Drosophila melanogaster: one gene and its partners. The protein of the gene in region 3 interacts with the protein of the main gene of each other region in a pairwise test. Each region holds a gene or a part of one and is shown on either strand. Other genes may lie near its edges.

The links. The genes of interacting proteins can lie anywhere in the genome.
Region 1: the proteins of CG15754 (region 3) and mRpL35 interact in a two-hybrid assay, tested with the Drosophila melanogaster proteins (one large-scale study listed by BioGRID).
Region 2: the proteins of CG15754 (region 3) and Fbp2 interact in a two-hybrid assay, tested with the Drosophila melanogaster proteins (one large-scale study listed by BioGRID).

Annotation. Positions count from the first base shown.
Region 1 is NT_033777.3:22,019,597-22,027,135, reverse strand, and holds mRpL35 (mitochondrial ribosomal protein L35), read right to left. Parts: upstream 3,610-7,539; 5' UTR 3,529-3,609; coding exon 3,504-3,528; intron 3,440-3,503; coding exon 2,928-3,439; 3' UTR 2,795-2,927; downstream 1-2,794. Other genes in the region: Cchl (cytochrome c heme lyase), read left to right, coding at 99-688, 746-1,001; CG6028 (uncharacterized protein), read left to right, coding at 1,732-1,996, 2,083-2,210, 2,282-2,770; mitofilin, read left to right, coding at 4,205-4,249, 4,507-4,736, 4,870-5,343, 5,404-5,552, 5,616-6,311, 6,414-6,434, 6,528-6,686, 6,744-7,032 and 1 more.
Region 2 is NT_033779.5:9,422,932-9,430,711, reverse strand, and holds Fbp2 (Fat body protein 2), read right to left. Parts: upstream 3,929-7,780; 5' UTR 3,778-3,928; coding exon 3,454-3,777; intron 3,394-3,453; coding exon 2,947-3,393; 3' UTR 2,795-2,946; downstream 1-2,794. Other genes in the region: FucTB (alpha1,3-fucosyltransferase B), read left to right, coding at 1-15, 283-689, 1,123-1,300, 1,367-1,882; CG42847 (uncharacterized protein), read right to left, coding at 2,210-2,262, 2,317-2,689; Mco1 (multicopper oxidase 1), read right to left, coding at 4,612-5,016, 5,083-7,167, 7,238-7,419.
Region 3 is NC_004354.4:13,523,652-13,531,610, forward strand, and holds CG15754 (uncharacterized protein), read left to right. Parts: upstream 1-4,354; 5' UTR 4,355-4,361; coding exon 4,362-4,963; intron 4,964-5,105; exon of another isoform or gene 5,106-5,167; coding exon 5,168-5,337; exon of another isoform or gene 5,338-5,407; coding exon 5,408-5,481; 3' UTR 5,482-5,629; downstream 5,630-7,959. Other genes in the region: CG44428 (uncharacterized protein), read right to left, coding at 6,166-6,453.

The sequences.
Region 1 (7,539 bases), on a different chromosome or scaffold from region 3:
CACTGGGAGTGTAACCCACTCCTTACAGTTACGCAACTGAGAACTAATGCGATTTTCCTCGTGACACAGATTTTGTTATTAACCAATCCCCAGCAGAAATGGGCAATACAGCCATCACCCGAGTGCAAATGGAGGCCACGAAGAGTGTGCCGGTGGACCACGCCAAGTACATGAGCGGCAGTGGTGCCCCGCCACCAGAATGCCCCATGCATCAGAAGCATGGAGATGCAAAATCGGCCTCCGCCGTACCCCCACATCCCAAGATGCAGGCCGCTTCCGAATGTCCGGTGCAGCACGACAACAGCGACGTTAATCCGCTGAATATGATGCCACCGGCAAACCAACAGCCGGCGGCAGATCAGCCCTTTCCACTGCCCACCGACCGCCAGACGTCGACCATTCCCAAAGTCACCGAGGATGGCAGCGTTCAATTCTGGCAGTATCCCAGCCAACAGATGTTCTGGAACGCCATGCTACGCAAGGGCTGGCGCTGGAAGACCGAGGACGTATCGCAAAAGGACATGGGCGACATCATACGCATCCACAATGCCAACAACGAGCAGGCCTGGCAGGAGGTACTTAAGTGGGAGGCGCTTCACGCCAAGGAATGCGGCAATCCGCGCCTCAAGAGTTTCGGTGGCAAGGCCAAGGACTTCAGTCCGCGCGCTCGATTCCGCAGCTGGCTGGGGTGAGTATACTCCAGACGGAAGATCTCACCTGAATTAATGTTCGAATTGTCTTACAGATACGAGCTGCCATTCGATAGGCATGACTGGATAGTCGATCGCTGCGGCAAGGATGTGCGCTACGTCATCGACTACTACGACGGTGGACTGGTGGACAAAGACTACCGCTTTGCCCTGCTGGATGTGCGCCCAGCCATGGACTCCGTGGACAACGTTTGGGACAGAATGCGCGTAGCTTACATGCGCTGGAAGTACGAGCTGTTTGAGAAGTTTGGCAGCGCGGATGGCGGCAAAGTGACCGCTGGTAGCGACTAGATGGAATGCATATTTAGATGATCGCTATAGGTACAAAATCGGCTTAAGTTATCGAATGGATGGAAGAGGGAGTTTGGTTAAATGCGTTTAAGACGCTGCGAAGCGAAACGATGTTGAGCCCTCTCTTTAAATAAATGTTGAATCTTGACTTCTGAACACCAAAATTCGAATGTGGTTTTGCTTTTTATTTTATTCTTTACTTAAATCCTTTTAAGGATTTCGAATTATCCAGTAACGAGTTGATAGCATTGTGGAGGAATATATTAATTAAAGTTTTTTTTTATTGATATACTTATGTATATGCAGAATTCTCATCTGTTCAAAATGCCTGTAAAAATTTTTTTTCTTAATCTTTAGTTTTATATTTTATTTATATGCTCTTTAAAATGATTGCGAAATTATAAAAATACGTTTACTACTTTTTTATCATTACTACAAATTTAAAAAATGTATAGTAAATAGAATATAACTTTAGACGTTTCTTAACTTTTTTAACATACATTTTCTGATAAAAAGTTGATATGCAACCCATAACATTATATGTATGTTTATATGTATGATGCTTTTCTAACACCTGCGGCTTCAGGGGGTTAATGTCTGGCAGTGTTGAAAAGCGCGTGTAAATTCTTTAACTGATTGCTGGTGCCCTCATTACGTGAGATTCGAGTTTGGCCACTGGAGCGTTAATTGGATAGCCGCGATAGATTCGTTCGACGTAAATCAGTCATAAATGCAAGCTGCCAGAATGAGGTTCGTTCAATACCTGCGAAAAGGTGACTTGGCCAAGCGACTTGGTCTACTGTCCGAGGATCAAAAGTCGCTGGTGGAATTTGCCGGCTTGGAGGGTGTGCCCAGCGATCTAAAGATCCTGATTGCCCAGGATCCCAATCTGGAGGAACTGGCGAAGAAGGCCGAAAAGCAGCCGCGACTCGAGGTGAATGATGATGTCACTTTGCTGCCGCCTCTTACCGATCCCGGCAAGATCATCTGCATTGGTAAAGAATGAATTAACATACATATGTATAAACATATGTAGTTGGACCCTGACCTTCAAAATGACGTATTCTCGATCTGCTTGCAGGTCTGAACTACCAGGACCACTGCGATGAGCAGAACAAGCCGACCCCCAAGGAACCATTGTTCTTTAGCAAGTTTAACAATGCCCTGGTGGGTCCTCAAGATAATGTCATCGCTCATGCGGCCAGCAGCGTAAGTGAAGCAAGAGATAACAAGAGATAGGCTCATCGAGATAACCAACCGACCAAAAAAAAATTCCACAGAAAATCGATTGGGAGGTTGAGCTGGTCTGTGTCATTGGCAAGGTCGCCCGCCAGGTGCCCAAATCGCAGGCCATGGACTATGTCTTCGGGTATTCGGTGGCCCAGGATATCTCCGCCCGCGACTGGCAGAAGGAACGCAACGGTGGTCAGTTCCTTATGGGCAAGTCGATGGACACTTTTCTGCCGCTGGGACCGGCTGTGGTGCACAAGAGTCTGGTGCCGGATGTTTACAACTTGAATCTGAAAACCTGGGTCAACGGCGTGGAGAAGCAGAACGGCAATACCGGCAACTTGATCTTCAAGCTGGACGATGTGATCAATCGTCTGTCGCAGACCATTACCCTGCTGCCCGGCGACATCATAGTCACCGGAACGCCCAAGGGCGTGGGCATGCATCGCACTCCGCCGGAATTCCTTCAGCCCGGTGATGTCGTGCAGTCGGAGATTGTTGGATTGGGCAAGCTGTGCAACAAGATTGTGGCTCCCTAAGATTGTCAACTCATTTGGCTTGTTGTGTTTGTAAAGTTTGTGTTATTAGTGAAACAATGGCATTTAATAGATGATTTTGTAGTTTTCAATAGATAAACTATAATCAGATATTTTGGTTTTGTTTAATTCAAGTATGTAGTATCTTTGATTAGCCAGGTCACACCTTAAAGGTCTTTGACTGTGTGGCGTAGTACTCGTTGCGGCTGTGATAGGGCTTATAGGGATCGTTGATGAAATGCTTTGGGCGCCGCCAATAGCTGGTGACCATCTTGTCCAGCAGCCAGCTCTGCGTGGCATTGGTGAAGACGTGCTGCTTGAGGCGGCGTCGTAAAGCTGCGGATTTCTTGAAGAGCTTCTTTTGGCGACCGGAATGGGTGCGTATCCAGGCGCCCCAGTCCAGGCGCTTAAAACGTTTCAGTACCGCCTTGACGGTCTTTCGTTTACCCTTCACCAGCGAGAATTTGGTCACGTTGCGTGTGTTTGATGGTGTTCCTGTGGCTGCTAGCACACCCGGCAGCTGCAGGAGCTGGTGATGAGCAGGAGATGCCAGTGATGGCGTGGGCAACAGGCACGGACGGGATAGAGTCATCAAAGTGGCACGTTGTGTCCGCTGGACCAGAGGAACCAACGAAGATGCAGCCGGCGACTGGCGGCAAACGCTTCGCAGCGCTGAAAGTTAAGAACAATTAAAGTAACGTAAACTTGTAAGCCCTATTAGCTGACTTCAACTTACCGCTTGTCACAAAAGTTCTTAGCATTTCACTTAAAACGACAAAGATAAACCTATAATTCCATACAAAACGCAGGTGCTCTTCTTCTTATCGAATCGCGTAACAGTCAGCTGTGTGCCATTCACAGCGAACAAACATAGATTAGCTTGCTATTGGAGATGGGAACCGGTCATCATAAGAACTATCGCAAATGTTTTGGGATTCACCCAAGGAATGGATCAAGTTCAATTTTTCGTTGATAACAATTAAGGCAAAAGGATCCCTTAACCATGTAATCCATTTGTAGAACACTGACAATTCTGACAATTTAAAACTTGTTATAAAAATTGTTGCTTAAACTTATGCGCCCATCTCCAAATCAAATGTATTTTGACTGGCCTATCGAGTACATGCGTATATGTTGCCGACACTTTTTCCATCAAAACACAAACCAAAATTGAGTGATCAAATTCGAGTGGCGCGGGCAAGCGAAACGAAAAGGACGACGAGCAGCACGCAGGACTCGTGTGCGTGTGCGTGGGAGTGTGGGGAATGGAAGAGGAAGCAGCAGCACTGGCCAGCCATTCACCCACCAGCGCTGACGCAGTCGAGCCAGCTTCGAACGAATTGGGCAATATTTAATTCACGCCGCCGGGACTTGAAATTTACGGTAGCCGAAGGAGCAGGAGCACGAGCAGAGCAGGATCACAGCAAAATCAACACCATGTATCGGCTAGCGGTGCGAGATCAGTGCAAGTGCGCCCTGCAGGTGAATTTTTGACCCATTCATTTCTAGCTATTTGATAACGTGAAAATCGATCGTCACGTTGCCCCACACCCCCGCGCGCCCACAAACAAGCGGTTGGCGAAAATACAACAAGAGGCGCTGGTTATGTCATCTACCAAGCCCAGGAATTGGGCGAAAAGCTCCAAAATTCCAGTTGACCAAGGGCGCGGGGGTATCAACGGGCTTGCCAATTTCCTTAAATGTGATGGTCCTAAATGTATTACCTTTCATTGCAACAGCGTACGCTGCAGCAGACGACCGCAAACAACAGGCAATTCGGCGGAAGCAGCAGCGGAAGTGGCGGCCGGGAACAGGGCAGGCGGCAGCAGGAGGAGCAGGGACAGCAAGGCGATCAAGGATATCAAGGATACCAGAGCCTGCCACCGCATATGCGCGAAGCTGGCTTCGGCAAAGTGGTCCTCTTCGTCTCACCACTGGCAGCTGTCGGCGGTGTCATCACCTACGCCAAGTAAATAGAGCCACAATAGAGGTTTAAGATAAGGATAGGCAGTCCACCTGTAGATCAACAAAAATTCGTACACATTTTATTGCACCTGAAATGCTTAAATGAACCATCGAATAATGTAGAAATCCTTTTCCAGATACGACGACGACTTCCGCAAATTGGTGGAGAAGAATGTACCCGGCGCAGGATCCGTCATCAAGGTGGCTCTGCAGGAGGAACCGCCATTCAAGGGCATCACCAAGAACGTCAACGATCAGATCGATAAGGTCAAGTCTGGCATCGAGACAGTGACGTCCACGGTGGACTCCGTTACATCTAAGGTGACGGGCCTGTTTGGCGGCGGCAGCGGCGATGACAAGTCCAAGAAGTCCAAAGTGGAGCCCGTGAAGGCCACTCCTGCTGAGGAAAAGAGACCCTCAAAACCAAGCGAAGTCAGCAAGACTGAAGCGAAGCCAGTGTCGAAGCCAGCAGCAGCAGCAGCGCCTGCGCCCGCTGCCAAGCCTAAGGATAATCCGCTGCCCCGCGATGTTGTTGAGCTGGAGAAAGCCATCGAGCTGTCTGCTCAACTGGCCGTCAAGGAGTACAACGTCGCTATTGGCGTTTTGAAAGGGTGAGCAATTCTCGTTAACTATTCGTTGCGTGATTTTAAATTTAATCAAATATCGTTCAGCTTTAATGACGATGTCCGTAAGGTTGTAGACAAGGCCGTAGAGAATGGAGAGAACTCTCTTTGGACCACGCTGAAAAATCGAGCAAGTGCCCGTGATACGGCAGTGGCTACGGCAGAGCGAGCTGCCCGTGAGGCTCAGGAGAAGATTGGTAAGTCCATTGTTTGTTAAATAGATTCCAAATTTCAGTAACATTCCCTTCTATCAACTGCAGTCGCCTGCGAGATCGCCCTGAGTGCTGCGGCAACGGCCCAAAACGCAAAGAAAGTAGAGGCAGTGCGCGACAAGATCAAGAAGCTTGTGGACCACATTGGCAACGTAAAGGACGAGCTTTACCGGCACAAGGACACGGCCAGCGTGTCAGACAAGTACTGGCGGAATGTGGAGAAGGCGCGAAACTACTTCATTGACGAGATCGAGTCTATCTTCCCCGGCCTCAGTTTGGCGGATAAGAAACTTAATCTGTCAAAGGAGGACCTAGACTTGTTCATCCTGCACGCCTACACCCATGTCCTGGCCTACCAGAAGGAGCTGCAGCGCTTGCAAACCGATGGTGAGCTGCGCCTGAAGAGAGCTATTGACTCGGTTCGCGGTGACAACGATTCGGAGGCTTTGCGCGCCCAACTGGAATACCATTTGGAGGCCGAGCGGCGCAAACTGGCCGTGGAAAATCAAAAGAAAATCTTCCACATCCACGCCGAGTCTGATAAGCTGCTGCGCTTGCAGCTCAAAAAGCAAGCAGAGGCCCACGCCGATCATATAAAGGACATCGTGGCGCAGCGGGAGACCGATCTGACGCGAAGCTTTAAGCGTGAACTTGAGGATAAGCTGGCGACCGAAAAGGCCAACTATAAGTTACAATTGGCCGGGATGCTCGGCAAGCTGCGCGGAATGGACGCGGCTCTGGCAGGTAAGTTATACGTTTTAAACGATATCGGTTGAATGTAGCTAGTGTAGCGTGGCTAGATATATAATGGTTTTCAAACCTTTTCAAAACATGCTGCTATATTAGAGATAGAGGATGAGTTTCAAGGTATATTCACCCTATATGAAGGGTAGTACTTATACCAACTTATTCTTGGTTTAATCAAAATGTTTATTGACATTATATGCAACATTTTTGCAGAGCGTGCGGATGCAGAGCGTACTGCCAATCAGGCGCAGGCCCTTTGGGCCGCCTGCCAAGCTCTGTGGGCCTCCGTGCGCGCTGCCACTCCTGGCGTGCACTATAAGGATAGGTTGCGCCCGTTAAAGAACGAGATCAATGCCATTGCCAAGGTGGCTAGTAAGTTGAAACGTTTCCCACATTTCGATTTCAGTTGCTAAATGCATATGCTTACAGAGGGTGACGACCTGGTGGCCGCTGTGCTGGAAAGCGTCCCGAAGGAGGCTCAGGAGCGCGGTGTCTATCCAGAAGATGCATTGCGCGAGCGTTTCCTGAATGTGGAGCGCGTGGCGCGACGATTGGCTTTGGTGCCCGAGGAAGGAGCCGGCCTGCCCATCTACTTCCTGTCCTATCTGCAATCGCTGTTCATCTTGCGACCCGATAATCCCATATCCAAGGACGAACTCGAGAACAAACCCTTCGACTATAGCAAACTGGACACCTACGATATCCTAAACAGGGCCAGGTGAGGCGATTGATTCATCTATCACTAGAGTTATATAATATATATTATATATATTATGTTTCACAGGTACCATGTGGATCGCAGCGACTTTCTGCAGGCGCTCAAGTACATGAATCTGCTGCAGGGTGCATCGCGCAAGATTGCCGGCGAGTGGATGAAGGAGGCTCGCCTCATGCTGGAGACTCAGCAGGCGGCCAACACCTTGATGGCTCACGCCGCTGCCAGCGGACTATTGTATTTGTAGACTACGTCCCGTGTCCCCTTCCTTCAGAAACAAGATGATACACTTACTATTTGTTATTAGTCCAGGAGAAGATGGTACGATTACCAACAATATGTAATTTGTCCAATTAGCGATCACAGTTGAAACGAAATAGCACTTATATACATATATTTGTAACATTTTGTTTAGCTTCAATTATACAAATTAAACATAGAAACCATCATTATAAAATCCAAAACATAAATACTCTGGGAAGATTTGTAAAAAATTCGATACCAAGGCAT
Region 2 (7,780 bases), on a different chromosome or scaffold from region 3:
CGTCCGTGGGCCCGGGTTCGTTTCAAAAACCAAAAGTCTAGATTTCTTTTTGTTTCACATCCGGCAGACATGATAAGAATTGGATTGAAAATAATAATAATATAGGGCTCCAACTGTTTGAGATACTGTACCATAGTTCTGAAAAATATGTAAACACATAGCTTAGACTGAGAAATGCATAGCACTGCAGATACAAATTCGCTTACTTCAGTAAGATATGTAATTGTAGATTCATTGTAATTTGATATAATAATAACGGAATGTCTCTTACATTTTTCACAGGGCGTCCTGTTTTACGGCTCAAACATAAAGACGGGAGACTTTCCCCTGCCTCGGAACGAGCACCAAATCTGGGCCCTACTGCATGAAGAATCACCAAGGAACACCCCTTTTGTGTCCAATAAAGAGTTCCTTCGCCACTTCCATTTCACATCCACGTTTAGCCGCTACAGCAACTTGCCGCTGACTACGATGTACTTGCCCAGTGGCGAGGCGCTTACTTCGAAGGATTACTATGTTACGTTTGACGGCAAGTCAAAGTACGGATACCGTCCATCCACATCGGTGGTGTTCCTCCAAAGCGACTGCGACACGATGTCTGGAAGGGAGGACTACGTAAAGGAACTGATGAAACATCTTCCGATCGATTCCTACGGCAGCTGCCTACGGAATAGAGATCTGCCAGAGAGGCAAGTAGGCTATTCCATTTGTATCCTATTTATAATCCCAAACATTTTACACACTCATAACAAACACGCGTGACAAACACATCACGTGAAACACTATCGTTCTAAAATTCCTTTGCCATCATGACATCACCAAGTGCCAACGAGCTTCCCAAGGTCTGTTGTTCAGAGTGCTGGGTGCAGTTGTACGGCTCGCTGCCTCAAATGAGCAACGTTTCCAGAGAATGCTGCTGTCGTCAGGGAAATCATAAAGATCTAGAAGAACCTCTTTTCTGTGATGACGATTCAATAATGGAGTCTCAAAATAGTTCAAATGATTCTGACCAAGATAGCAACGGAAGATGCGGATGCCCTTCATGTCGAGCTGAAAAACACTAATATCTAATTTGCAATCGAAATCGTAAAAATTGTTCAATGCCTATTGATTTTGTTTTAGCTTGCAGAAGGATTACTTGAATAATTTATATTCACCGGAGTTGCTGCGTTTCCTGTCCGAATACAAGTTCATGATTGCCATTGAGAACGCTGCCTGTCCGGATTATATTACCGAAAAGTTTTGGCGTCCTTTGATAATGGGAGTTATTCCAATTTACTTTGGCTCACCCACCATAAAAGTAAGTCCGTATTTCAAATAATAATTTTCACAATTTTTTTTTTATTACATTCTACAAATATTGCAGGACTGGGAACCGAATAATAAATCTGCAATTTTTGTGAACGACTTTCAAAATCCTCAGGCATTGGTAGAGTATCTCAATAAGTTGGCGGATAACAAAAAGCTGTACAATTCGTACCGCCAACACAAACTAAATCGGCGTAACCCCATTTCCAACAAAAAGCTACTCCACAACCTTGTCACGCGCCAGTACCACATAGGCGATTCTTCTCCGGGAGCATCACTCTTTGAGAAGTTCGAGTGTGCAGTGTGCTACCATGTAATCAATACTGCCAGGAACGTGAAGGCCGACTTGCGTCATTACAATTGTCCCCTGGAACCGGTGTATGCTAAGATGGAGGGTCAGAAAATTCCTCAAAATGTCGCGGATTGGCGAGCCGCAATGGAGGTAGGCCAGTGCCAAGCTAAGGTACTCGATGAGTTCTTCCGTCGAGACATCGGTTTCAATGACGCAGAGTTTGATGCTGAGCTCAATCGGAGGATTGAGGGAAACAATTGCAGTAATAGTTCAAATACTTAATTCGAAAAATACGTCAATCATACAGACTTTACCATGTGATAATAAATGTATATTAAACTATTTACAATAAGCTGTCATTTCTGGTATTTACAATGTAAATGTACCTCATCCAGGACTTTATTTTCCTATTCCATTTAATTGAAAACTGTTGTACACAATATAAGTACGTTAGCTTAATAAATATTTAAATACTTAAATTTCCATTGATTCTTCTAAAAATATATGTCTGCATGTACCCATTTCATCTACATCCATTGATCCATCCATCCAAATGATTCCATATGGTGGGGACTTTGATCTCAAAAGAATCTGTGACATCAGTAATCTCTACTGTACAAGATTAGTATACTGGTGCAGTTTCAATATCGTACGGCAGATGCCTAAGAATTAAAGTTTTCGTTATGATATGTTTAAATTGCATTATGATTACTTACCCGGAAATACACTATTTCTCGCAGCCTTTTCGAACTTTCGATTCGGTTTTCTTCCTAACCTAATCATCTCTCTTAAAATTAGAGCCTTATGAGAGGGCTCTGAGGACATCAACAATTTTTGTTTCTTTACTAACGGATAGAATCGTTTTTTCGTAGATGATGAAGACCATTTAAAACCATTATTTAGCTTTCTTTGAGAAATATTCCTGTGCCTTTTTATTTGACTCGGCCGTTTTCGAGGATTGCTTATTTTGGAGCCACAAGAATTAAATTTGTCCTGAACTTTGAAATGGCATCCATTTGTGGAAAGGACTGGTACTTCGACGCCACAGCTAATGCATCGATTTTTATATGTAACCCTATAATTCGACATGGTACATCTGTTGGTAAGAAGCCGAGTCTTGCAAATTTTGAACCAATATTTATATAAAAAATATTTTTATAAGACGATCTCAATGGAAAACAAAATTTTGTAAGTATTTAGTTATACTCTCTACACGGAATCGTTATAAGATAAGAAATATTTGTAAATGGTAGCTAGATTGAACAAGAAACAAACTGGGAGGCCTAATATTTTTATATATTTTTTTTTTTGAAATGATTTAACAAATAATCGCTCAACTAAGCCATTTACATCTGCCAGTGCATCGTGGGCGTAACCTCCTTCAGCTGGCCCATGCTCACAATCCACATGCTGCCGTTCTTCATCATCTCCATCGCGTGGATCATTTGCATGGCTGCCTCCTCGGGCATTTGGCGCTTGGCGCTCTCGATGGCCTCCACCATGGATTCGGAGTGGTGCCAGGTAACGTTGTCGCGCAGGTTCATAATCATCTCGCTGTTGGTGAGTCCCGGGCACATGGCCATGAACATGACGCCGGTCTTTTGGTAGATCATCTTGTCGCCCATGGAGCGGGTGAATCCGAGGATGCCGTGCATGGCAGCGGCGTAGACAGAAAAGGCGGGCGCGGGTTCCAGGCCATAGACAGAGGACATGTTAACCACCATGCCACCCATGCCCATCTGTGTCTTGTCCATGTAGGGCATGGCCATCATCGTCGACTGGATCATGCCAGTCTGTGGGAAAGGATTTAGAAGTTGAGATACCAATCAATAATTTAATTATCTATTCCTTACCAGATTCATGCCCATCGTAGTCTCCACATCCTTGTCGAGCAGGACACCCTCGCCATTGATCATCACATCAATGTGTCCCATCATTTGACCCATTTTCTTCATCGCCTGTTCGATCGACATCTTTTCCATGAGGTTCATTTGCATGAAGACCACTTTCACGGATGGATTAATGGCCTGCAGCTTCTTCATCATCTTAACGTTCTCCATGCGATGCATAATGCCCATCATCTTGATGTCCTTCTGCATCAGCTGCATCATCATCTGCCATCCAATGCCGCTGAAGCTGCCCACATAGACAACATTCTTACCGGTCCAGTCAAACATTTTTGCTTGGGGTTAATTATTTGGGGTTGACGTGGCTTGGATTGTGATGTGATGAGTGACTAACTCTGTCTGATGTTAAGCTAGTAGGTGGCTGCTCTTATATAACACCACAGATGCACCGATTCCAGATGTCCAGCGCATTTAATGTGATGACTTTATTCGGATTGCAATAACATCGCCATAATTTCAGCTATCTTCATCGGGTCAACGGGTGAAGATCAGGTCCCTGTCCATTCCTGATATTTTGAGTTGGAAAAGACGACAACAAGACCGTAGCCAGCTGTTGCCAGAAGGGACCAGATAAGACAGCTTTCGACGACGAGGTCGTTGGCTGGTTCATCTGATCTCCAGCCACCTGACGAAATATCAATATTTCGACTGGGTTCCTCATTATACAATAAAATTGTAGAATTTGCCGAATAAATTGTTGCAATAATTAGGAACATTTGAAACAGATTTATTTTACGTTTTGTGGAATTCTATATATATGTACATTAAAGTTAAAATTTGTTTTTCAATATATATCTTTGAGAGCAATTTTACACTCATGATTATAAGATTCTACCTCTTCATTAGAAACACCAAAAATCTTACAAAAACATTTAGATATTTATTTAAATGACTTATTTAAACATTTTCTTAGACAATCACAGATGCTTATGCTACAACGATGCGAATATTTTTGTATGGAATATGTACAGGTGCCGGAAAACAAATATATTTCTACATCAATCAAAATCAATTTGATCTACACGATCTTTCCAACTCTTCAATAAATAATCTCTAAATTTCGTTTGGCAAGTTTGGATTGTGCTCTCTTTTGAAGGCCAGCTCTTATCGATAGAGTTTCACTAGCATGGAACTAATCATCAATGTAATCCAAGTGGGTTCCAGACCCGATCCACCGCCTCCTGTATTTGGGGGAGTAGCTGTTATCGGCTTGCTGGATCCCGAATCTTCTGTAGTTCCTCCATCAGATCTTAAGTCTGGATTATAATCGCCGCAGGTGGGAAAGTTCTCTGGCACCGGAACCATTTGATCGTCGTTACCCACTTTGAAGACCAGAGCCATACCGATCTCGGCATGGAATTCGATGTGGCAATGGAAAAGCCAATAGCCCGGATTAGAGGCCTCGAATCTGATGATGGTATAGCCTCCATCTGGAATAGTAACTGTGTCCTTCACGGGTGGATTGTCCAGATTCCGCTTGAGTAGATTGAACTGATCCAGTTGTTTTATCTTGAGAATATAAATAGTTACAAGTTAAATAAATATTTTTTATTTCCTTCGAACAAAGTTACTAACCATTTCAACGGTGACATTTTCGCCCAAACGCTCCAATCCCATGACTCTGAAGGCGTTTCCATGCAAATGAAAGGGATGATTGGCATAGTATTGGAATCCCTCGTCCACGATGATCATCTCGACCACGGCGCCCAATGGAACCTGCAGGACATGATGACACTTGCAGAACTCCTGGCGACAATCGATACCCTGATCCATTAAGCTCGTTTCGTTACAGAAGTCCGAGTCCTTTAGCTGACTCCTGGAAGGTAGCAGTGCTAGCGAAGGAAAATTTAAGGTTATATGATTCAGTTGAGGCGTGTATAGGCGATTCTGCTGGGTCATCTCCATGTCCATGGCATAAAGATCTTTATCGTGAAAATCGGGATTATTCTTAGTATAGAAATCGTAGTAGATGAAGAACTTGTAGTCCGCTTCCGGTTTCAGTGTATCGTGATCGATGCCCGAGACATGATCATAGATGGGCAGAGCCCTCATTTCTGCAACGGTTTTGGTGTCCGGGTAACCAGGACCGCGGTTCATCACATTCAGTTCAATGCCCTCAGCCTTGTGGCCGTAACTCAATTCCGCAGTAGGCTCTTCATCTGGAGCTCCCTCATAGCGAAGAATGGCCACTTGAAAGGCGGAAGTAAAGACTTCGCTGCAGTCCATCAAACCCTTTAGTCGAATCCAATAGTTTCCAACCTCGAGATTGGCATTTAGTACAAAATCAAATCGCTCACCGGAATAGGTAACTATAGAGCCCACGTCCATTGCCTCAATATCAAAGCCATCCGAGTTTATGGCTGTCAAGTTATGACCGTCAATAGACACCACAATAGGACAGTTTAGATATTCCGCATTTATAATTCTGAAGCGATAACGAAAACCTCTTCTCACTGTGTAAATCTGATGGGGAACTAGTTCCAAGGGTATCTCATTTAAATTACCCCTCTTTTGGCGGGAATTCACGGGAAATAGTTTGGTTGTATTAGTTTTAGCCAATCGAGCTTGTCTCGGTAGTGTCTGAACGAAGTCCACCTGGGACTTGGGCAATGGTTCCACCGGTTGGGTAGTTCTCTCCTCAGCTCTGCGATGAGCTTGCTTCGCTTCCGCCCAAATGCGATTATAGTAACGTCCCTTGCCGTTCACGAGCAGATTGTGGGGCTTATTATCACCTCGGGAGTGATGATGATAGGAAAATATGCTGGCACCTGTGTCATGTATCCAATCCTGGACAATCATCACATGCTCGCTGAGGTCAAAGTCGTAGAGTCCTCCGTGTGGTTCGGCTGTCTTTGGTTTCCGGATGATTAAGGCACCGAAAACTCCATCACCTCGCTGCATGCCAGTGTGCGAATGCCAGAAGTGAGTGCCGGAGAGATCGGCTGGAAAGGAATACCTGAAGGTCGCATGTGGAGTAATTGGACACTGAGTGATGTGTGGTACACCATCCATATAGGGTGTCTTCTTCTGGTGCAGACCATGCCAGTGAATCGATGTGCTTTCGCCCAACAAATGATTCTTCACATCGACCACTATTTCATCGCCCTCACAGACTTCAATCGCTGGCCCGGGCATCATACGATTGACCACAGTGATACTCCGCTCTAAACCATCGCCCATGACACAATGTGGTCGGGAGCAGTCCGTAAGATTCCGTGGACAATCGTAGCAGGCTTTGGAAAAGGTCTGGTACCATTCCACCACGAACTTGTAGCGACAGGTCATGGGTTCGGCTCCCACTTGACAATCCCGATTGCAGGGATGGTTTCGATACCATTCGGCTGTCCAAATATCATCCGTGCTCTCCGCTACATTGTCCTGCAGCTCCTCAATCCTGGCCGTTTGGAGGGGCCTGCAGTAGGGACAACAGTTTCGCTCCTCCAATCTTGAAGCTGGACAATCTTCAGTCAAAGCCGGACAATTTCTCTTGTATGTATTCATTACAATCTGTCCATTATCCAGACGTCCACATTCGATGAGCGTGCAATCGGCATCATTGTGCCATGATTCACCCACCGCATACAGAGTGTGGTTGTGTTGACAGTGAGTCCTTACACACTCCCCGCAGCAACTGCCTTCGACACTACGCAGCTCGGAACCCTGCAATGCAAAGACACATGGACAGGATGATAATATTGTACAATAGTTATAGGACTTAGTGGTCACTTACCACTTCACAGTAGAACTCATTGCAGTCGACTTGGGTGGCCACAATATGCGCCTGTGGATCCTTGGCCACACCAGCTGCACAGGAATACACCAAACATGGATCCTTTGAGGCAAACCACACTGCGCCAATCTCCTTTCGATAAGTGGTGTTGTACTCTCGATACAGGCAGATGGTATTATCATCTAAGAAAAAATGCAATATTTAATTTATTGAAATATAAATCACAATTTCCAAAGGGTTTGATATAATTTTAAAGGATTATAACATAAGTGGAATGATTTGTAACACTTAAAACATTCCATGATAAAATTTGTGCAACGTCTTATTCAGCTTTGTTCTTGTTTGCCCTGGTACACAATTGCCTAATCTCTAGCAAATATAATTCACTGGGGGTCATAATCAAAGAAAGCCGAACAAATACAAACAGTTTAGGAACAAAACATTTTCTTTAGTCTTTTTTTTCGCGGCTTATCACGCGCCTGGGATTTGCAATTTATAGCTCACTTAATTGAATGCATGGCTTAGTTTCACACTTGGATATTC
Region 3 (7,959 bases):
GGCGCGTTGCAATCAGACAAAGGGGCGGTGGTGCTGCTGGTGTTTTTTCGCTACGCCCACCCACGTCCACGCCCACACCCGCACCCACAACCACCCACCATCGCCCACACATCCGCATCCGGTTCGCATTCCGTTGCACTCGTTTGGTTCTTAAAGCAAGGTGAATGCGTTCTTTTTTAAACTGCTGCAGTCACAAGTTTTTTCGTAATGAAGACTTCGAAACTTTATCAGTAACTATTGTTTTAAAAAAGTTTTTAAACTCACTATATAGTATTTGGGAACTTGCTTATGAGCGCAGAATGTACATACAGTTGCGTTTAATTTATTTATGTTATTTAATATTTAATGGGTCACCTTCAGCTCATAAGCTCCTTGAAAAACACTTAATTGTACATATTTATTTCAATTGATAACTTTGTTAAATATTCAAACATATATTCGCCGCAACTGAGTATATATGAATATATTTAGAATGCAGGACGATTGCATCTGCAATTACTTTTGGTTCGACCTATGTACATTTTTATTCGAAATTTCCACACCAAGTGCAGGATGTCAAATGGCCGAAATGGTTGGGCAAAATAAATGGTGTAACAGCCAATTGAAGGGCCTTTAAGACGACATAAGCCCACTAATAGCTGGACAGCAACTGGGGCTGACTGGGCGAGACAAATGGAAGATGTGTGTCGGTCCATTGGCCTCGGCCAGCCCCTTTGCAATAGCCATCTGGGTAATAGGAGGAGCGAAGGGTCCTGGCCAGGAGAAAACTCTAAGAGAGAGAGAGAGAGAGAGCTGTTCCAGTTGTTGTAGCCGGCGGACCGCAATTGCTGGCGACATTTGCCGGACATTCTACGGCTGCGACAGCGGCATTTTCTGCTCAGAAAACAATGCGAACGCAGGACACAGATACGGATGGGGATGCGGATCCGGATGCGGATGCGAATGCAGATACAAATACGTGGTAGTGGGAGTGGGAATGAATGTGGGCCGGACAGACACTAAGCAGACCGCTGACAACGTGGCGTATGAGCAACATGTTCCAGAACATTGTTATCGGACTCCATTCTAGCATTCTAGCAAGCATACACACCTTTCCACATTTTCACTTTTCCCCCAAAAGCCGGTTTGCAGCTTGGAAAAATGCTCGACAGGAACTTCTTCATTTACATGCATTGCGGACGTGGTCCATTTCACGACGATGTCGCGGCCAGAGTCCATCCATCACGGGCACGTGCTCGTGGCTCCATTTCGGTCTTGGCTCCGGCGACATTTGGGGTAGGGGTTTGGGGTTTTGCAACGGGATATGGCTCTCTTGCCGCGCCCCCTGCAACTTCCAACAAGCTATTTGCGTGAAAATGGTTTTTTTTTTTAATTGAAATCGGAGTGGTCCACTGCGCTAGTTTTATGAAATTCATTCTCTCCTCTATTAAAAAACCACATCAAGTCCTCCATTTGAATCCGTTAATTAATAATGACCGAAAATTTGGCCAGCAACAGTGGCGGGTTTATTTGTGTTTTCGGCAACAAAAATATGTTGGGAAATTCTTTAGTGCTCTTCATGTGTGTTTTTCTATATAAGTTCTTTGTGAAATAGCACAAATCATATTGAAATCATTTAGCTTGAAATTTTATTTTATCTATCTTAAATTTTATTCAAATATATTTAAAATATAAGTTGAAAGCTCAAAGGCCTTAAAGTGAAAACCGAAGTATTTCCCTAACTAATGTTGACATTCGTGCAGCACTCGATGGGTTAACGAAGGACCTAGGTAATCTATTTAGTTCATCTTGCATCTAAATCCCTTTCAATTAGATAAATTAGCTGTGGCCACAGATATCTCCGCACCTGTAAAAAGTTTCCCCACTCACAATCTGGAATTCGTTGGTCCGCAATTAGCGTGGTCACCGTAATGCGGTTGCTTTTGGGTTTTCGGTTTTCGGTTTTGGGTATTCGGATTTCTGGTATTCAGTTGGCCAGGATCATCCCGACCGACAATTTGAGTGGTCTGAGTGGTTTCGATGGTGTAAATATTGTCGCAGCTGGCCAAAAAAAAAAGTGGTGGAATGGCTTCTGCAAAAATAAAGATGACAATGACAATGAGGAAGCGAGGGTGTGGCAAATCCATTTGATTGATTGAATTTAAAGAGCAGCGACAGTCACGCGGGAAAACGGGGGAAAATTACAAGACCGATGTCTGATAATGATAATGGTGGTGATGATGATGATGGTGCAGTGCTGCACGATTTTTATATTGCTCTAGGGAAAGCTCAAATCATTAGAGTGATTAAAGGTCGAGCTGACTTGACAAGAGTTCCTTTGACTTGACTCGGACCCTCATCAACTTGAGCTCTCTCAAATCAGTCATGGAGAATTCTTAAGCTCTAAATTCTGTCAAAATGAATTCAGCCAATTGTAATGTTTTTTTTCCCCCCCGATGAAAGTTTGTACTTATACTGGTAAATTTCTTTCACACTTCTATTAAGCTTACTACGTATTTTAAGCATCTTGACCCTTATCATCTTGTCTCTCAAATCAGCCAAGGATATAGCTTTCAGCATCAAGTTTATGCAAATATACTAAACACGATAAGTCAGCAAAGAAAATGTTGCCAATTGTGTATTTTTTGTGAGACAATTTTACACTGCTAACATTTGTTTAAATTTTCTACAAAATCCAAAACATTTTTCAACATAAAATTTATTTTTAAGACACGCAAAACGAACTAAAAATGCAAAAAAACTAATGAATATACATGCAAAATGTACATTTATTTTTAGGAAACATTCACTATTATATTTTGTTAGCTTTTCTAAAAAAAAAAATAAACTAATTTAGGACCAAAGGTTCCAACTTAGAAAAATTAACACTTTCCCTAAACACATCATTTTAGAAAATACGTATGTAAAGATCTGTTTGTACATAAAACTAAAGAGAAAATTTACGTTTTTTTAGGCTTAAGCAAGACCCACTTATAATTGTTAAATGAATTTTTATTAATTTGTTGTAACCCTGAAACCCGTAGTGAACTTTTTCTAGGTAAAATTTAAGATGAAATTTAGCGATTTTACTAAAAAAAAAAACAGATACAAGCATCAAGAAACTATATTAAAGTATAAAACACTAAAGCTAAAAAAAAAGGAAATCGATAACAATGTGTACTATAAGTCAGCTATGCCTAGGATTAAGTTAAATGTATAATATTTTTTTTTATAAAAACATATACATAAATACTGAAAGTATCAAAATGAACTACAGAGAAACCCAGCAAAAAAGAATATTTAAAACCTTGTCTTTTTTTTCAAAATGACTGCAAGCATTGTAATTGTAATTGTAAATTGTCGAGCGACAAAAAATGTATACACATACGAGCATCCAAATAAATACTTGAAAAAATGCTTCAAAATGTATGGATTAAATGGATATGGCGAAAGAGATAAGAGCATAGAATATACCCTTCTCGCCAAAAATTTTCCTTGCGAGTGTTTGTATTCCCATCTAGGCATTCCTAAAGGAATCCTTAGGACTTTATACCGAAGGGTATTGTGTGTGAGGATTTGTGAGTATCTGAATATCTGAATGTGTGTAAAATAAGCCCAAAGCGATCGAATAAAAATTAATTTTGTGGAAATGTGAACGCAGTTGTTGTCTTAATTCCCGGGTGGCCGCGCTTCAATCGCTCCAAACTCAGCCCGAAAATATGCCATTAGCCGGCAGAACCGGCCCGAAAGTAGATGACACTTGAGTGTGGATCTGTTGGTAAACACGGAACCGGAGGCAATCGGATGGCCCAATTAGAGGGAAACACCCGTATTCGTATTCACATTCAGCTGGACCGCACCGCCCGGAGGTATCACAATCCACAATCATGGCTGAAACGAATAAAGTACGTGGTATCGCGAATAAACAGGTTGTGATGGGCTTTTTAAAGGGTATGTAAGTAGCAGGGATGCTTTACAGATTTTTTAAACTTTTTTTTATGATAGAAATACCAAATAGGATATCGTATTGTACTTATTTAATAGGAAGAAAGGGATGAATATTATTTATTTTCCCAAAGTGGACTATTATTTTTTGTATTCGTGATTGATGGTTTTTTATTTTGGGAGAAGTGCAGTATTTACGAGTCACTAACGTTCTATCTTGTATCTGGCGGATAATCGGGCGTGTATCTGAATCTGGAGCTCGCTGTGCGAAATGCAAATTGTCGCGCGCTTTGCTATTGTTTTCCATAGATTTATGCACTCGGTCGATGCTGCGGCTAATTTGTGGTCAGTCGTGTGAGTGGCCAGCTCATCGGAGTCGGTTTGGAGTCCCATATAAAAGTGAATCGCGCCGGAGGGGTCGGTAGTCAGCGCCCAAGATGCCATCCAATCAGTATCATCTGCTGCAGCTGCACCTGCTGCTCTGCGCCTTGCTCCTGACCTCTGGCCAAAGGACACCGGTTCGCGTTCCGCCGCGAAATCTGCAGGTGCCCAACATTGGGGGCGAGAGCTTCGAGAGATTCGACACCCGATCGGCATCGACGTCGAGCAGCGGAAGCAGCGAGAGCCAGGAGACCAGCGATGAGATGCGGGAGCAACTGAAGCAACTTCTGGGCGACCAGCTGGCCACCGCCTTTGCCCCCTTGGCCACCACGCCATTCACCAGGCGACAGCCGGCCATTGCATCACCCAGCTCGGGGGCGGCTGCCCGTTCCCAGTTCGCCACCGATCCGGATCAGGGCCAGGAAGAAGAGTCCCCGGACCAGGACGGCGAGGCGGAAGAGGCAGAAGAGGAGGAGGAAGACGAAGAGGAGCAGGAGGAGGCCACTCCGCAACCTCAGCCACTGCCACCAGCTCTACCGCAACCAGGAGGCGTCTTGGAGGAGCTGGCTGGTGGTCAGGTGGACGAGGAGCTGGAGGATTATAATGCCTGGCGCGACAATTTCTATGAACTCAACGAAGACGGAAGCTATATCTTTGGGTGAGTTTGCTGGCCGAAAAGCCGTTACCATGACTATTAAAAAGGCGAATTGGAAACTATAGATTTGGCTGTGAACTAAGCCTTCTTCTCATCTTTGGCAAGTAGAGTGGGGAAAACATAACCATTCACTTAACTCGAATTTCAGAACGTTTATCTTAATAACTATATATTTAGGACATTTAATTGATATTATTATTTGGCCAGCTACTCCATTCCCCATGGCATTCGTCGCTGGGAGAAGGGCTACTATTCGGAGGAGCAGCATGGCCGGGTGGTTGAGGGCTTCTATGTCCAGCCCCGTCACGATTCCCAGGGCCTGAGATATGAGCTTCGATGCTACAGAGCCGATTCCGAGGGCTATCAGCCGCGTCCAGGTAACGAATTTTCCTTAGTCCTTATATAGATAAAATATGTTTAAATACATATGTGCACATATTATTGCAGTTGAGTTTCTGAGGACGCCGCCAATTGTGAGGCGCGATGCCATACCGCGTGTTAATTGCTTCCAAAATGCTTAAAAATAATAGACGAAAATAATCCGTAAATAATCAGAAACCAAACGTTGAATGTGTGACTTTAAAATCAAATAACACAAATCTTAACTAAAGAAAGTGGTAACTGCCCTAATTTTTTTGTGCACGAATGTAAATATATGTATGGAAAATGTCCGCAATGTGTGAATAATTTCGATCTAAACTGGTAAGACTGATAAAGTTGGCGCTCTAGTTTTCTAAGAATAAAGACATAAGTTCCACACATAAATTTCAAAATATTAAGCTATCCGCCACATAAATGGCTGAAAATTTATTTGCTTGAAATTAGGAGAGTCCGACCGTATTTTGGTATACTTTATGGCCAAATTCCTTTAAGCACGATTGTTTGGGAATAAAAACAGGAAACCGTGGTCCATAAAGAACTTGAGCGCATAAGAAGCATAACAATCGCTTAACCGACTTCTCGGGGCTTACCCGTACAGTCATCACTTCCTTGTTTGCTTTGGCGCCGCTTTTTGTTTCATTCATTTTATTCGCCTTTATTTTTGCCACTGTGTTTCAGTTGCCTTCGGTTGGTTCTCGGTTTCAAGTTTAATTCAAATGGCATTTTAAAATACTTTTTATTTGTTTTTATTGTCTTTTATTTTCGCTCGCCTCCTCGGTACTCCAGTTCGCTCTACTACACAGAGAGAAACTGTAGATCACTAATCACAGTTTCATTAAATCTTTAACAATATTAGATAACATCAAAAGATATATATATATATTATATGATTTGGTACTTGCAGCCCGAATTTGCCATTCTAATACTCCTAATTTTTGTTTTACCCCACATTTTCTCTCTGTGTACGCGTCCCACCGTGGGCAAACGAGATTTGTAGCTATGTGTGAGCTTGGCGCGGCTTTTGCGGCGTCCCTGACGTGCAGCAGTATTCCCACAGTTTTCAATTTTTGGCGATTTGTTGCGGCACTTAACGGTTGTTTGTTAGCTGTCATTGTTGTTGCTGATGAAGCGCCTTTTGTCTCAACTTCCCGCCGTATCTCCTGCTCTTTCTGCAGCGTTCTGCCCACCGCTACAGGTCGACTTCGCCACAACGGATTGTAGACCTGATGAATTTCTATTAAGCCACAGTTTCTGTATGAGAAAAAGGCAAAAAATTCGGTTTAATGTAGAATGTCATAACTTGCTGAGCTCGTAATTTCATTTCCAATCGATTGGCATTTAAAATGTGGCATTTTATTTTTTCGCCATTTTTTGCAAATTTTGATGATGTTACCCCTTACCGAAAATGCCAAAATTGACCAAAAAATTTATTTCCCTAAATTCTTCAAAAAGTGATATGGATCGTTAGCACTTGTAATTAGCTGCTCAAAACAGTTATTCCTTCATCTGTATGACCAATTTTAACGAAGTTATGACGAAAATTCCGTTTGTAAATATCAAATTTTTGGCAAAAGCTGTTTTTCCGAATTTTGGTCATCAAATAATCAGTTTTTTTGCCACAACTTTAAAAATATTTGTCGGAATATGGAATGTCATATCTCGTCGAGCTTGTAATTAAATCCGCAATCGAACTGTGTCCAAAAATGGGAATTCCATTTTTTCGCAATTTTTTGCAAATTTTGACGATGTTACCCCTTACCGAAAATGCCAAAACTGACCCAAAAATTTTTTTTCCCAAATCCGTCAAAACAGAAATAGGGTTGGTTAGCATTAGTAATTAGCTGCTCAAAACAGTAATTCTTTCATTTTTATGATAATTTTTAGCCAAGTTATGACAATAATGCAATTCAAACAATATTAAATTTTTACCAAAGGCCGTTTTTCCGAATTTCGACCATAAAATAATCAGTTTTTTTTTTTTAATGTTCAAGTTAAGGAGGTCTGCCTGTATATTCTGTGATGGCTGCTCCTGTGTTTTTCTTTTCGCGACTATCCCAAGACGGACGCGCAAATTCTGGGTAAATTGTTTGGTCCAAGTCGCCAAAAGGGGTTGCCCGCATCCACGTCCACGTCCACATCCGCATCCGCATCCACCATAAACCCCCAACCGAATCTGGAGCCACATCCGCGGGTCCCCAAAGTTTGCTTGACTCTGGCTTAAATACGAATTTGCCTAAATCAACAAACGGCGAGAACAGAACATTTTGTGAGTCTTCTTTGCATTTGAAAAGTAAAAAGTAACAAGATTTCATTGTGGCTCATATTGTCCCGTCTATTTGCATATCTTGCGCGTGGCTTTATAGCGCTATACACGGCGTAAATAGATATATACATTTATATATATATATATCTGTATATGCCGACCTTTTGCATTATATAGTCATGCCAAACGAAGGGGCAGGGGCAGACGAGCAACAGAAATAAAAAACAAAAACAGGTTCATTTAGCTCACGTTTTGAACTTTCAGGGATTGATCGTGATTTTTATTGTGGTTTCTGTTTCTGTTTGCTGTCATTTGCATGAGTCAACCACGAGTGAAAAGAGACAATTTCTAAACA